Elephas maximus indicus: one gene and its partner. The protein of the gene in region 1 purifies or fractionates together with the protein of each later gene. This does not show direct contact. Links are inferred from orthologs where the notes say so. Each region holds a gene or a part of one and is shown in the gene's direction. Other genes may lie near its edges.

Evidence for each region. The genes of interacting proteins can lie anywhere in the genome.
Region 2: the proteins of TAF9B (region 1) and USP22 purify together in Homo sapiens (affinity purification with mass spectrometry; 3 studies listed by BioGRID and IntAct, with this or other methods). This does not show direct contact. The link is inferred for Elephas maximus indicus from reciprocal best matches to the Homo sapiens genes TAF9B and USP22.

The regions. Positions count from the first base shown.
Region 1 is NC_064846.1:89,599,969-89,607,079, forward strand, and holds the start of TAF9B (transcription initiation factor TFIID subunit 9B), read left to right. Parts: upstream 1-4,109; 5' UTR 4,110-4,184; coding exon 4,185-4,226; intron 4,227-5,666; coding exon 5,667-5,783; intron 5,784-6,421; coding exon 6,422-6,503; intron 6,504-6,806; coding exon 6,807-6,943; intron 6,944-7,021; coding exon 7,022-7,111. UniProt on the Homo sapiens protein: Essential for cell viability. TAF9 and TAF9B are involved in transcriptional activation as well as repression of distinct but overlapping sets of genes. May have a role in gene regulation associated with apoptosis.
Region 2 is NC_064820.1:215,908,464-215,915,426, reverse strand, and holds the start of USP22 (ubiquitin carboxyl-terminal hydrolase 22), read left to right. Parts: upstream 1-3,962; 5' UTR 3,963-4,233; coding exon 4,234-4,371; intron 4,372-6,963. UniProt on the Homo sapiens protein: Deubiquitinase that plays a role in several cellular processes including transcriptional regulation, cell cycle progression or innate immunity.

The DNA.
Region 1 (7,111 bases):
GAGAAATAGTATAAACTGAGCAGAACACATACTTTTGTGGTTACGAGGGGGGGAGGGAGGGAGGGTGGGAGAGGATTTTTTACTGATTAATTAGTAGATAAGAACAGCTTTAGGTGAAGGGAAGGACAACACTCAATACATGGAAGGTCAGCCCAATTGGACTGGACCAAAAGCAAAGAAGTTTCCAGGATAAAATGAATGCTTCAAAGGTCAGCGGAGCAAGAGCAGGGGTGTGGGAACCATGGTTTAAGGGGACTTCTAAGTCAATTGGCAAAATAATTCTATTATGAAAACATTCTGCATCCCACTTTGAAATGTGGTGTCTGGCGTCTTAAATGCTAACAAGCGGCCATCTAAGATGCATCAATTGGTCTCAACCCACCTGGAGCAAAAGAGAATGAAGAACACCAAGGTCACACGACAACTAACAGCCCAAGAGACAGAAAGGGCCACATGATCCAGAGACCTACATCATCCTGAGACCAGAAGAACTAGTTGGTGCCCGGCCACAATCGATGACTGCCCTGACAGGGAACACAATAGAGAACCCCTGAGGGAGCAGGAGATCAGTGGGATGCAGACCCCAAATTCTCATAAAAAGACCATACTTAATGCTCTGACTGAGACTAGAGGAATCCCAGCGTTCATGGTCCCCAGGCCTTCTGTTGGCACAGGACAGGAGCCATTCCCGAAGACAGCTCAGCAGACATGAAAGGGACTGGACAGTGGGTAGGAGAGAGATGCTGATGAAGAGTGAGCTAATGATATCAGGTGGACACTGGAGACTGTGTTGGCATCTCCTGTCTGGAGGGGGTATGGGAGGATAGAGAGAGTTGGAAGCTGGCAAAATTGTCACGAAAGGAGAGACTGGAAGGGCTGACTCATTAGGGGGAGAGCAAGTGGGAGAGCGGAGTAAGGTGTATACAGGCTTGTGTGTGACAATCTGACTTGGTTTGTAGACGTTCACTTGAAGCTCAATAAAAGTTAATAAAAAAAAAATCCTTCAATTCTGAAAAAAAATGCACACAAAATCTCTTAAAAAGATGTCTCTGTTTTATGATAGCTGGACAATTTCTTTCCTTTTTTTAAAAATTTTTATTTTTATTGTGCTTTAAGTGAAGGTTTGCAAATCAAGTCAGTCTGTCATACAAAAATTTATATGTGCTTTGCTATGTGGTCTTAGTTGCTCTCCCCCTAATGAGACAATACACTCCTTCTCTCCACCCTGCATTCCCCGTGTCCATTCAGCCAGCTTCTGTCCCCCTCGGCCTTCTCATCTCACCTCTAGACAGGAGCCGCCCACGTAGTCTCATGTGTCTGCTTGAGCCAAGAAGCTCACTCCCCACCAGTATCATTTTATATCTTATAGTCCAGTCCAATTCCTGTCTGAAGAGCTGGCTTTGGGAATGGTTCCAGTCCTGGGCTAACAGAAGGTCTGGGGACCATGATTTCCAGAGTCCTTCTAGTCTCAGTCAGACCATAAGTCTGGTCTTTTTGCGAGAATCTGAGGTCTGCATCCCACTGCTCTCCTGCTCCGTCGGGGATTCTCTGTTGTGTTCCCTGTCAGGGCGGTCGTCGGTGGCAGCTGGGCACCATCTTGGACAATTTCTTTCTGGTCCTACTACAAGCCTGACATAATAAAGCCCAATGTAGAGATATTTTTTTTTCCCAACAAGGATCAACTCCAACACTTTTATTTAAAAGATAAAACAACTTTATTACAGCATCACCACTATATATAGCTGTACTTTTCTCATCAATTTGGCATAGTTCTTTGAATAAATTCTTACCTACTACATTGTACCAATCTAGGGGGAAGAACAGTAGTCAGACAAGTTTAATAAAAAAATATTTCAGGACAACTGCAGACTATATTAAAGCCCTCTTAGAAAATTATTTACAACTGTATCATAGTATAAACACTCTCGACTTTACCATAAATGCATGAATTTTATAAAAACACACACCCTAGAGTACAAATATAAGTTAAACACTGAGTAAAACATTCACCATATCCAATGGAAGCTATTATTAAGAATGTATTTTAGGTCATATCAATTTTAAGTGATAACCACAAAAGTGCTTCCTTAATCATTCATAATTTTAAACATTTGAGTAGTCATCACAAGGTTTAGAATTTCATCATAAAGTCTCCCTTTTTACAAATGCAAGATGTACAAATGATTTCTCCTTTCCTGGCCCTTTCTCTCTTTAGCTCATGTAAAAAAGCTACAAAGTAATAAAAAATTCTTAGTCAAATCTGACATGCAATATTAAGTATATAATTGGTAAACTTTTCAAAAACTGTTATCCCTAGTTGATTCCCTTTGAAAAGGAAACTGCCAAATTTGTATACAGGAAAAGACAAAAAACATACTTCTACAGGAAGGGTACATAATCAATCTAAAAATAATGTTCCCACACTTCAGGAAACATTAAGTACTACATTTTCTTTAAATGACCATTGTTTTATAAATAATTCTGAACAGACAAAACATTTGCATTTAAATAATTTTGGTATGAAATATGTTTGGAATAGCATAAGAAGCATCTTGCCAATGAGGCATCATTTGGCTGTGTAAAAAATAAGCATGTTCCTTGTTATGGATTGAATTGTGTCCCCCCAAAATGTGTGTCCATATGGCTAAGCCGCGATGCCCAGTATTGTGTGGCTGTGCTCCATTTTGTGATCTGATGCATTTATCCTATGTGTTGTAAATCCTAACCTCTATGAAATTATTTTTTTATGATGCTAATTAGGCAGGATTAGAGGCAGTTATGTTAATGAGGCAGAACACTGTCTACAGGACTAGGTTGTATCTTGAGTCAATCTCTTCTGAGATATAAAAGAGAGAAGTGAGCAGAGAAGAGAGGGACCTCATTACCACCAAGGAAGAAGAGCCAAGAGTGGAGCGTGTCCTTTGGACCCAGGATCCCTGCGCTAAGAAGCTCCTAGACCAGGGGAAGATGGATGACAAGGACCTTCCCCCAGAACTGACAGATGGAGAATGCCTTCCCCTGGAGCTGGTGCCCTGAATTTAAACTTCTAGCATCCTAGATTGTGAGAGAATAAATTTCTGTTTGTTAAGGCCAAAAAAAAAATTGTTATATTTTTCTCACACATATTAATTAGTCCTACTATTAATTACTATGAGCCCTGGTGGCCCAGTGGTTAAAAGCTACAGCTGCTGACCGAAAGGCCAGCAGTTCAAATCTACCATTCACTTCTTGGAAACCCTTTGGGGCAGTTCTGCTCTGTCCTATAGGGTCGTTATGAGTCAGAACTGACTCCACAGCACCTAACAACAACAATTAATTACTACTAATTGTCACTGTTAACTAGTTCTATTGTTTTGCTTAAATAATAGCATCTTTTTTTATGAAGCAAAAAATTCAATAACACAGAAAAACACACTTCAAATAATTTTTTTGTTTTATACTAATGGCACATACGTGTATAATTATTCATTATATGTTATAGGTTTTTTCATCTAGTACAGGTGTGTCCCAGGCTGGCTCTTTAAAGGCTGGTCACCCCAAGAGTGAGGAGCCCTGGTGGCCACAGTAGTTAAAAGCACTGGGCTGCTAACCATAATGTCCGGAGTTGAAACCAATGGAGGTTGGATCCATGGGATAAAGATGTGGCAGTCTCCGTCCATAAAAATTTACAGCCTTGGAAACCTTATGGGGCAGTTCCACTCTGTCCTTTAGGGTCCCTATGAATCAGAATCCTGTCATCTGACAATGGGTTTAGCTTCAGGGCCCCAAGAATATATTACCATTTGGATAGGGGAACAAAATATAAACATGTAATATTTGTAAATTGCATAGACAAGAAACTGGTTAACTAGTGGCCCCTTCTATGAAAGGGAAATGAGTGGCCGGAGAACAGGCTTTCTTATCCTTGTTTCTTCTTTTTATATATATACATATCTCAAGCTTCTTATCCTTGTTTCTTCTTTTATATATATATATATATATATATATATACACACATATATGTATTTGTTTTCACTTCACACCCTGTTCGTATATTACCTCTTTAGAAAATTATTTATTTTACATAAATGTTTGCCATGCTAAAAGTCTGCTAAAGGCACTTGCCACGTGCCAGAATCAGTCTTCGCGTCAGAATCAACGTGTTCGAAACACGTGCATCTCGGCAGAAGGGCCCACAGTTCAAGATGGCTGCCTGGCGGGCAGCCGTTACGGAGGAGCCGGATGAGGTAAGCTGGCACCCAAAAACTGAAAGGCCCACTAGGCCCGAAAATTGGTACGAATTTTATTCTCAATGAGGGAGCCATTACAGGGTTTTAAGCCAGAGAATGATTTGATTTATGACTAAGAGATTCCTCTGGTTGTGCAACGAACGGAGGGGGCTGGGTAGAACTAGCTCTATTTTAAGGCTTATTTCTGTAGTCTGGGTGAGTAATGCTGTTGGCTTTGGACTATTAGGGTAGTAGCACTGGATTGAGATGCAGAGTTGGGGATAAATTTGGTGTACCTTTGGGCGGTAGCCCTGCTGCTAGCTTGAACGTGGATCGTGAGGGAGAGAGCGGTAACATGGCGGACTGCCGTTTCCAGCACGAGTGACTCCTGGTGCCTTTTTCCAAGGTGGAAAACGCTAGCGCCTTGGATTGTGTGGCGTGGCGGGATAATAAATAATTCTTTGGAAGACTTTTAACCGAGCGATGGTTAACTGATGCACGTTTTTCAAGTCACTCGGTCTGGATAGATGATTTTCAAAGGTCACTACACTTTTGGCCATCTGGAGGCAAGTGAGGGCCCTGTGTAGGCCTCAGAGGGACAAGGGTGGAGGAATTCCAGTAGGGACTCTTGCAGGCCATCAGAGGCTTTAGCTTTTCATTGGTGTGAAACGGGTAACCGTGGTAGGGCGTGTGTGTGTGTGTGTGTGTGTGTGTGTGTGTGTGTGTGTGTGTGTGTGTGTGTGTGTGTGTGTGTGTGTGTGGTAAAACATAACATTTGCCATTTGAACATTTTTTACATGTACGGTTAACTCAATGACATTAATTACATTCATCATGTGGAACCATGTGGTAGGGCTTTCAGTGTGAAAGGAGCTGACCAAAGTCCTGCTTTGTGGAGAGCAGGCTATAGGATAGGGTTGCCAAGTTTAGCAAATAAGATGCTCAGTTAAATTTGAATGTCAAATAGAAAAATAATATTTTAGTATAAGTATGTCCCATGCGGAAACCCTGGTGGCATAGTGGTTAAGTGCTACGGCTGCTAACCAAGAGGTGGGCAGTTCGAATCCGCCAGGCGCTCCTTAGAAACTCTATAGGGCAGTTCTGCTCTGTCCTATAAGGTCACTATGAGTCGGAATCGACTCGACGGCAGTGGGTTTGGTTTTTTGGGGGGGGGGGGTATGTCCCATGCAATATTTGGGACATGTATTAAAAATGTGCTTCTTGTCTCTGGTACGCCCCGAGCAAGAAGAGAGCAGTGAGGGCCCAGCGGAGAAGGCTTACTCGCCTGTTTCAGTCCTCCTGGGCGGCCCCTAGTCTCTCAGGTGCCGGAGCTCTGGCTCTCGCCCAGCCCGGCTTCCAGCAGCCTCTACTGAGCGTCCCCCGCCGCCCCCCATCAGCTGTTGTAAAACGGCCGCCAGCCGGTCCCGGCGCGGTAACCCCGCCTTCTGCACCCCCCAGGGGTGGAGCCTGGGTGAGGAGACCGCCAGCTGCCCTTTATCACCGGATGACGGCAGCTCGGATAGCATGGAGTCGAGCAAGATGGCGACTCCCAAGAACGCTCCGAGAGATGCCTTGGTGAGTGCGAAGGATGAGATACGGGGTACGAAGCTCAGCACGGCCCAGAACTTGGGAGTCAGGCCCAGGCAGAGGTCTGGAGGGCGGGCGCCCGTGCCAGCATCAGCCCGGCCGAGACGTCTAGAAGGAATGGGAGATAGGGGTGCGCCCTGGCCCCTGAAGCACTCTCCCGCCGAACTGGCCGAACCCCGCGGGAGGGTCGCAGTTGTCACGGAGTGCGCGCAGGTCGCCCACAAGGCTTTGTCTCCAGGGCCTCGGCCCCTGTTACCTTATCCCCCTCGCGGGATCCGGGAGCCCTGACTCTCTGCGTCTGGGGTTCTGGTGCTTAAGTTTCCCCCTTTGCCACATCTGAAAATGACAACCAGCTGTACCCACCGCTCTGCTGGGAAAGCCAACGCCAGGCCTTTTTTTTTCCCTCTTTGCCCCCGCCCCGACCCCCCCTCAAAAAAAAAGTTTCCAGCAAAGAACTCCATGTGATTTGGTGTGATCAAGACATTAGTTTGGGAGGAAAAGGATGCGTGAGAATTTGGAGCCCAGAGTAAGGGGACATGTATGGTAAAATAAATACAACCGTCGGTCCAGCCTTGATTTCCAGTACCTATTTATTATGCATCTGGTGTTTTTATTTGAATCCACAGGTGATGGCGCAAATCCTGAAGGATATGGGCATTACAGACTATGAACCAAGGGTTATAAATCAAATGTTGGAATTTGCTTTCCGTAAGTTAACAAAACACGAAAACTTTGCCTAACTTGTGAATTTGGCGAGACCATATTTTCAACCAAATTATTTTAAGTTAATGTAATAGAATTCTGTCTAAAGCAGTAAAAATAAGCTCAAGCTAGGAGACAGTAGAATTTATACTTTCAGATCTGTTTAAAATTGATCATATAGATAGTACAGTTAGGTATTAACACCAGAATTCATAAACTTTCTAGAAATTAGTGGAACCTTTTAAGAAAAGTGGTCATAAATATTAAGCTGTTTTCCTGTGTCTAAGAAAAACTATTTTATGCTTAAAGGATATGTGACTACAATTCTGGATGATGCAAAAATTTATTCAAGCCATGCTAAAAAACCTAATGTTGATGCAGATGATGTGAGACTGGCAATCCAGTGTCGTGCTGACCAATCTTTTACCTCTCCTCCTCCGAGAGATGTGAGCAAACTTTCATTCGAAGTTATTTGTACTTATAATTTTTGAAATTGTGGTTCTAATAGTTTTTTTTTTTTTTAGTTTTTATTGGATATTGCAAGGCAGAAAAATCAAACCCCTTTACCACTGATTAAGCCATATGCAGGACCAAGACTGCCACCTGACAGATAC
Region 2 (6,963 bases), on another chromosome or scaffold:
AAACAGAAAAATCATTACCCTCACTGAGTTTTCATGCTAGTGGGATGGACGGATTCTGACTCACAGCGATCCCATGTGTGTCAGAGTAGAACTGTGCTCCACAGGGTTTTCAATGGCTGCTTTTTTGGAAATCGTTGCCAGACCTTTCTTCTGAGGTGACTTTGGGTGCGTTCAAACTTGTAACCTCTATGTTAGCAGCCAAGCATGTTAACCGTTTGTACCACCTAGGGGTATACTATGTCAGATAGTGATACTTTCTTTGGAGAAAACGAAAGCACGTAAGGGAATACGGAGTTTTGTGGGTGGACACTGAAATTTTCAATGGGATGGCGGGGAAGGCCTCATTGAGTAGTTGTTTGATAAAGCCCGGGAGGAGGGTTAGGGAGAACCAGCCAAGGACTGTGGGGTGGGGTGGGGAGCAGTCCAGGCAGAAGGCACAGCAAGTGTAAGATTCTAGGGTGTCATGGATTGAATTGTGTCCCCAAAAATACGTGTATCAATTTGGCTGGGCCATGATTCCTGGTATTATGTGTTTGTCCACCATTTTGTCATCTGTTGTGATTTTCCTATGTGTTGTAAATCCTGCCTCTATGATGTTAATGAGGGGGGATGGGTGGCAGTTGTGTTGATGAGGCAGGACTCAATCTACTGGATTGGATTGTGTCTTGAGCCGGGTTCTTTTGGGATATAAAAGAAGTGAGCAGAGAGACATGGGGACCTCACACCACCAAGAAAGCAGCGATGGGGGCAGATTGCGTCCTTTGGACTTGAGGTCCCTGTGCTCAGAAGACCAGGGGAAGATTGATGACAGGGACTTTCCTCCATAGCCAATAGACAGAAGGCCTTCCCCTGGAGCTGACGCCCTGAATTCAGAGGTCTAGCCTACTGTCGTAGGGTAAAAAAATCACAAAGTTTAGTAAAGCAAAAAGAAAGTTTTATTCGGCATATATTAAAAAAGGCAAAAGTGGGAAGCAGACAAGCATGTTGCCAGAGCCATGTCTGCCTGAGTCCAAGGAAATGTTACAGAATAAACAAGAATGGAAAAACAGACAAGCATGCTGCCTCAGCCATGTCTGCTCCTGTCCAAGGAAAGTTCCAGAGTCACCAGTATATGTTAACATTACAAGTGGGCAAAACCATTAAAAGCTTCACCTTTTCATGGATTGGCTAGAAACTGTGATCCTACATTTTGAATGGTCTTTCTTAACAGTCTTTGGTACAGGTTTCAGTCAGGAGGGTCTTCGTGGGTCCAAAAAATTTTTTATTCACTATATGCTAACATTATTATTAAATGCTAACAGAAAAAGAGTGGAAAGGCTTTTGTGTTCTGTTTGGTTGGCTTTACGTGAAAAGTTCCCTAAGAGATTTTTTTCTTCCCTAAAAGATAATTTACAAGATTGTCCCATCTATTTTCTTTATCTCAGGGCCCAGCTGATGTGTCCTTGTGAGTCTTTGTGGGCCCAGCTCCAGCTGGGTCACATTCTCTGTGCTCAAGGACAGGAAATAATGATTCCAATATTATTTCCTAAATCGCTACTAGACTGTGAGAGAATAGACTTGTCTTTGTTGAAGCCATCCACTTGTGGTATTTCTTTTGTAGCAGCACTAGAAAACTAAGACATAGGGCAAAAGCGTACTTGGCAATTTGTCCTAACCACAGTGCTTTATTCCAGTTCTCAAGCCATTAAACCCTGCAGCTTTATATACCAGAGGTTACTATTTTATTTTTTCACTGTGATAGCTCTTCCACAGTAGCATACTTGGAGAGCAACTGGCAGCTTTCTTTAATCTCCCAAAGAACTCAATGCCATGAGTATAGGTAAGTAGCACCACACCTCATCCAAGATATTGTCCCAGGTCCATTGGGCCTTTACTCCTCCAAGACATCATTTGCACTGTCTTTACAATTTTTTCTACCGGCTGCCCTGGTTCAGTTTTCTTATGTACTGATTGTGGCGTAGGAGTTATGAGATAGGGGAGAAACAGCGACTGAGCCCCTAGTCAAGGAGCCCTGCAACTTGCAACTTACTTACAAAAATTATATGCTTGGCTAATGATGCAAAACCCCAATCCTTGAATGTGTGATAAGGAAAGAACAAACAAAGTACTCCCTTGTAAGATGTTTTTCAGGGGAACTGGGCCTGGTGCACGCGCGGATATCTGCAAGGTGACACACAGATGACTTCTGCCTGATGCCAGTACCCGCGACAGGAATCCAACCAGCACCACGGGAGGGACTGCGTAGGCGTGACACCCCGTAATAAGTTTTGCCACCCAATCCCAGGAGCCTTTGCTGTGAGTTCCATCTTGGATTCCAGATGCCCATGCAACCTAATTTAGTACCTACTGCCATTCTGAGAAGTACCTGCCCCTTGAAAGAAACCTGCTAAATATTCATTATTATCCTCGCCAAACCCATATAAGCCCCAGCAAAACCTTTGTTTGGGGTAACAGAGGCTAGCGTTTCCTGGTTCCTCTCTGTTCCCCACTCCTGAGCCTTTACGCTCTTTCTGTCACAATAAACCTTTGTTCATGTGGAACCTCTGAGCCTCTCCTGGTCATTCTTGGTCAGTAGAAGGCAAGAACTTAGGCAGGGCTCAGTCCTAAGGTGGGAAGCCTTGTCCTGCAAGAGTTAAGAGCTCAGGCTCTTAAAACCAAAAAAAAAAAAAAAAGTTCTTAGTTTGAATCCACTAGCAGCTCCTTGGAAACCTTACGGGGCAGGTCTACTCTGTCCTACAGGGTCGTTATGAGTTAGAATCCACTCACCGGCAAGTTTCATTTGGATTGTACTTACACTGTCCAATGTGGTAGCCACTGGCACTTTAAACGTGGCTAGCATGAATTGGATGTGCTCTAAGTGTAAAATACACACAGAATTTCCAAAAATTCATGCAAAAAAATGTAAAAATCTCATCAATAATGAAAAAATACTGTTTACATGTTGAAATAATATTTTGGCTATGCTGCATTAAATAAAATATATTAAATTTAATTTTGCCTGTTTCTTTCGTTTGTTTTAAACTCCCCTTTTCCCTTCTCCTCCTAGACCCTGGAAACCACTAATCTTCTTTAGTCCTGATGGATTTTCCTGTTCTAACTATTTCATAAATGTGGATCTATACATTGCCCTTTTATGTCTGGCTTATTTCTCTCAGCATAATGTTTTCAAGGTTCATCCATGTGGTTGCATGTATCAGAACTTGATTTCTCTTTACGATTGAATAACACTCCATTGTGTACGTGTGTGTCACGTTTTGTTTATTCGCTCATCTGCTGACAGACCTTTAAACTGTTGCCACTTTTTGGCGATGGTCAATAAAGCTCCTGCTTTTTTAAAATGCAGCTACTAGGAAATTTACAATTTTAGATATGTGGCTCACGTCATATTTCTGTTGGACAGCGTTGATGAGACCCTCACTTGAAGGTGGGGTCCTGGTGTAGGGGACTCCGTATGCTCCCTTGAGGCAGTGCCACACACCGGGTGAAGCCGGCAGCTCTAACTCATGGCTACGGAGCTGTGATGCCTGTGGGATAGGCTGCAAAGATGGAAGAGCCCTGCAGAAAGCCCAAAGGAGGGAATTTCTATTGGCAAAGGCATTGCTCGTGACCCAGGGAAGGCAGAGCAGGTCGAGGGATTTCTCAGAGACGCAGGAAGCAGTTTGCAAGACTGCAGGCTTTGCACCACCCCCAGCCCGTCGCTCCGCCTCTTTGCGGCAGAGCTCAGGCCGGTGCAAACCGGTTCAGAGCCCTGACAGACACCCCGCGTCACCCAATCCACAGCATGCCCCACCTCCCCGGCGATCGGTGGAGACCAGCACAGTCGGAGCCACTGCGGACTGGGCGCTGCTCTGAAAGAGACGGACTGCAATGGCAGCCAATGGCAGTGGTGGGCGTGGCCACGTGGCGGCCCGGCTTCCAATGGAGCTGGCCCAGGGGTGGGGCCTCGGTAGCATCACTCCCGCGGCCCTGACCACTGGAGGCCTCGGCGGTCGCTGGGCGCCGGGGACGGGGGTCTGCGGGGCGGGGCGGCGCCTGCGCAGTGCGGCCGGCGGGGGATGCAGTAATCGCGCCGGCACCGCCCAGGTCCCGCAGACCCGGAGCGCGGCGGTCGCTTGCGAGCTTCGTCCCCGCGCCGCCCTGGCGTCGTCCACGTCCTCGTCGCCGCCGCCGCCGCCCGCGCGCGGCCGGGCCCTGCCCCCTACGGCCTCCCGGAGCGAGGCGGAGGGCGAGGCCATGGACGCCGAGCTGGCGGTGGCGCCGTCCGGCTGCTCGCACTTGAGCAGCTTCAAGGTGGACAACTGGAAGCAGAATCTGCGCGCCATCTACCAGTGCTTCGTGTGGAGCGGCACCGCCGAGGCCCTCAAGCGCAAGGTGGGACACCCCAAATGAAGACCCTCAGCTGGGCGGGGGCTGCACACCTCGCGGGTGGCCGGGTGCTCCCAGCCCCCTGGGGGCGAGGGGCGCGTGGGGAGATTCGCGCAGGCGGCAGGGGGAGGGGCGACAGCCCTCCCTCCGTTCTTCCCCCTCCCCCATTCTTCTCTGCCTTCCATGTTCTCCCCTTCCCCATCCTTCCCCCACCATTCATACTTCTCTCTCCTCAGAAGGTTCTCTTCATAACTTTCTCCCTTCCCTTTTTCCCCACCCTTACTTTCCTCCACTCCCCCTTCCCCCTCCCATCTCCCCTCCCCTCTTTTTTCTCCTCTCTCTTCCTCTCCTCCCTTCTCTTCTTCACTCCTTCCTTCTCCCCTTCCCCCTCCTTTTCCTCCTCTCCCCGATCCCCCTCCCCCATCACTTTCCTCCTCTTTTCCCTTCCTCCTTTTCCTCCCCCTCCCATTCCTCCCTCTCCCCACCCTCCCTGACCTTCCCTCCCCTCCCGTCCCCCTCCCCCTTTCCCTTCTTCTCCCATCCCCCTCTACCAGGCCACCTCTTTTCTTCCCCCCTTTCCCCCCTCCTCCTCCTTTCCCCTCCTTCCCTCACCTTCTTTTCCCCCTCACCTTCCTCCTGCCCTCCCTTCGGGCGCGGGGTAGGGTAGGGCGGGGTCTCGGTGGGCTTGTGCAATTCCAGCGGTGGAGAGAGAGGAGCGCAAGTCTGGGAAGAGGCGCCTTTCTCCTGCAGGGTCTGTGCAGAAGGTCTCCGTTTTTCCAACACGAGGAACCCTACAGGGGCGGGAGTGTTGGGGAGTGGGAATAGGGTGCACTGAGAAAAAATAAGACAATAAAGGGAAGCAGTGTCGGAGACTTTTCCGGCAGCCTGCAGTGGATCAGCTCCTGCCATCTTCTCAAGTACCCTTTATGCTAGTGTCCATTCACGTCCAGAGGCGGGCCGTCTGGCCTAAGGAAACTGAAGAGCCATATGGCTACGACCGGGGCCTATTAGGACGTGGTTACAACTGTGGTCCTTGGGCAGAGCCCCGCACCAGGTGCGGGCTTTACGGGAACAAATATGGGCAGATGGCGTTCCCACCAACCCTCCCCGCCCCTGATTCAGGCGTGGACGCGGGTGGAGGCGGCGAGGAGTGGGTGGGCAGTTAGAAATGTAGCAAGCCTTGCCGCCCTGTAGAGCCACCGCGAAGCCGGGACTGCTGATTTGTATCGAGGTTTGGAGAATCCCTTGTGCTAAATGAGTGCATTTAAAAGAAAAGCTTAGATGGAAAGGTGAGGCAGCAGGAATTAGAGTCGCATGCCTTGTGCGAAGATAAGGAACTGACCCCTCTGTGAGACATTGAGGAAATACAAATTGTGTTATGCCCTTTCAGACATAACGTACATTCCCGTGATTAAGCCATTAAAGATTTGGAGATAAGAAATTCTTTCTTCTGAGCTGAATAGACTTTGACAATTTAACAAGATGATTTTGCAGAATATAGTCTGACGTTGGGAGTTGTTAGGCAATTTCCACATGAATAGCATTTTTTATTGGAAAACTAACAGTCTCACTGATATTGTAGGGAATGGGAAGCATTACCTCTTAGCATGGACAAAAATCTGAGGTGAGGTGGATTTCTAGTGGGATCCGTGTGAGAGTCCAGGAGCGATTAAATTATGACTTGCTAATGGAATTGCGGGAATTGAAATGGCTTTCTACAGGTGGTAACCTTATTCTCCCAAGATGCAGCTCTGTATAACTAATTTCTTGATTAAGACTTAAGCATGTAAGATTGATTTCCACTTGGCATTGAGTAGGCAATTCCTGCTCTTTTCCTCTCCTCATTTTTAACAAAACTGAAGGAATCAAGCTGAAACCATCATTAACTTGGCCTTGTTTCCTAAAGGAAAGAATTTTTTCCTATGTTGAAAGTAATCTTTTACTTTTTCCTTTCAGCTGCTTGGTTTGAAAGCTGCTGAACCACATCTTAACATTATTCATTAGTCAGAACTTGAGCTCTGTAAAAGAGGTAATGATACATGTTTCTTTCAAAATTCAGGGCTGTTACTATCGCAGTGCCTTTTGGTAAAATACCAGCCATGAACTCTTACTGGTATCCTCCCATTCTCTCTGAATCTTTGGGAGTCATTTTCTTGATCACTTCAGTTCCTGTATAACTGCATGTCTAGCACTCTCTAGTGGCCCAATGAAGGAAGACTTGCTTTGGGAAATAGTTTAACCTTGGTGATTAACGTTGAATAAACCATGTTTGACAGTTTGGATGAGGTTCTCAGCAGATCAGTGGGCTCAGTGCATTAGCTTCTAAAGATACGATGTTCCCTAAAAAAATATGGAATTTATGTTACAATTGTGCAGTCAGAGCTGCCTTTGGAGATTGACATCTTAGTAAGAACACAGCTACAAGTTAGCTACAGAAATTAATTCCTGGACGATTGGAAGTTAAAAGTTTTCTCATCCAAGGTGAGTTATGGTTGTGTATCCAGACTTTGATTCTTCTTTTGTTAGACAAGGAATGAGAAGAATGTGGTCAGATTTGATAACTTTCTGCCCAGGTTAAGCTTTTTATGGAATCAAAGT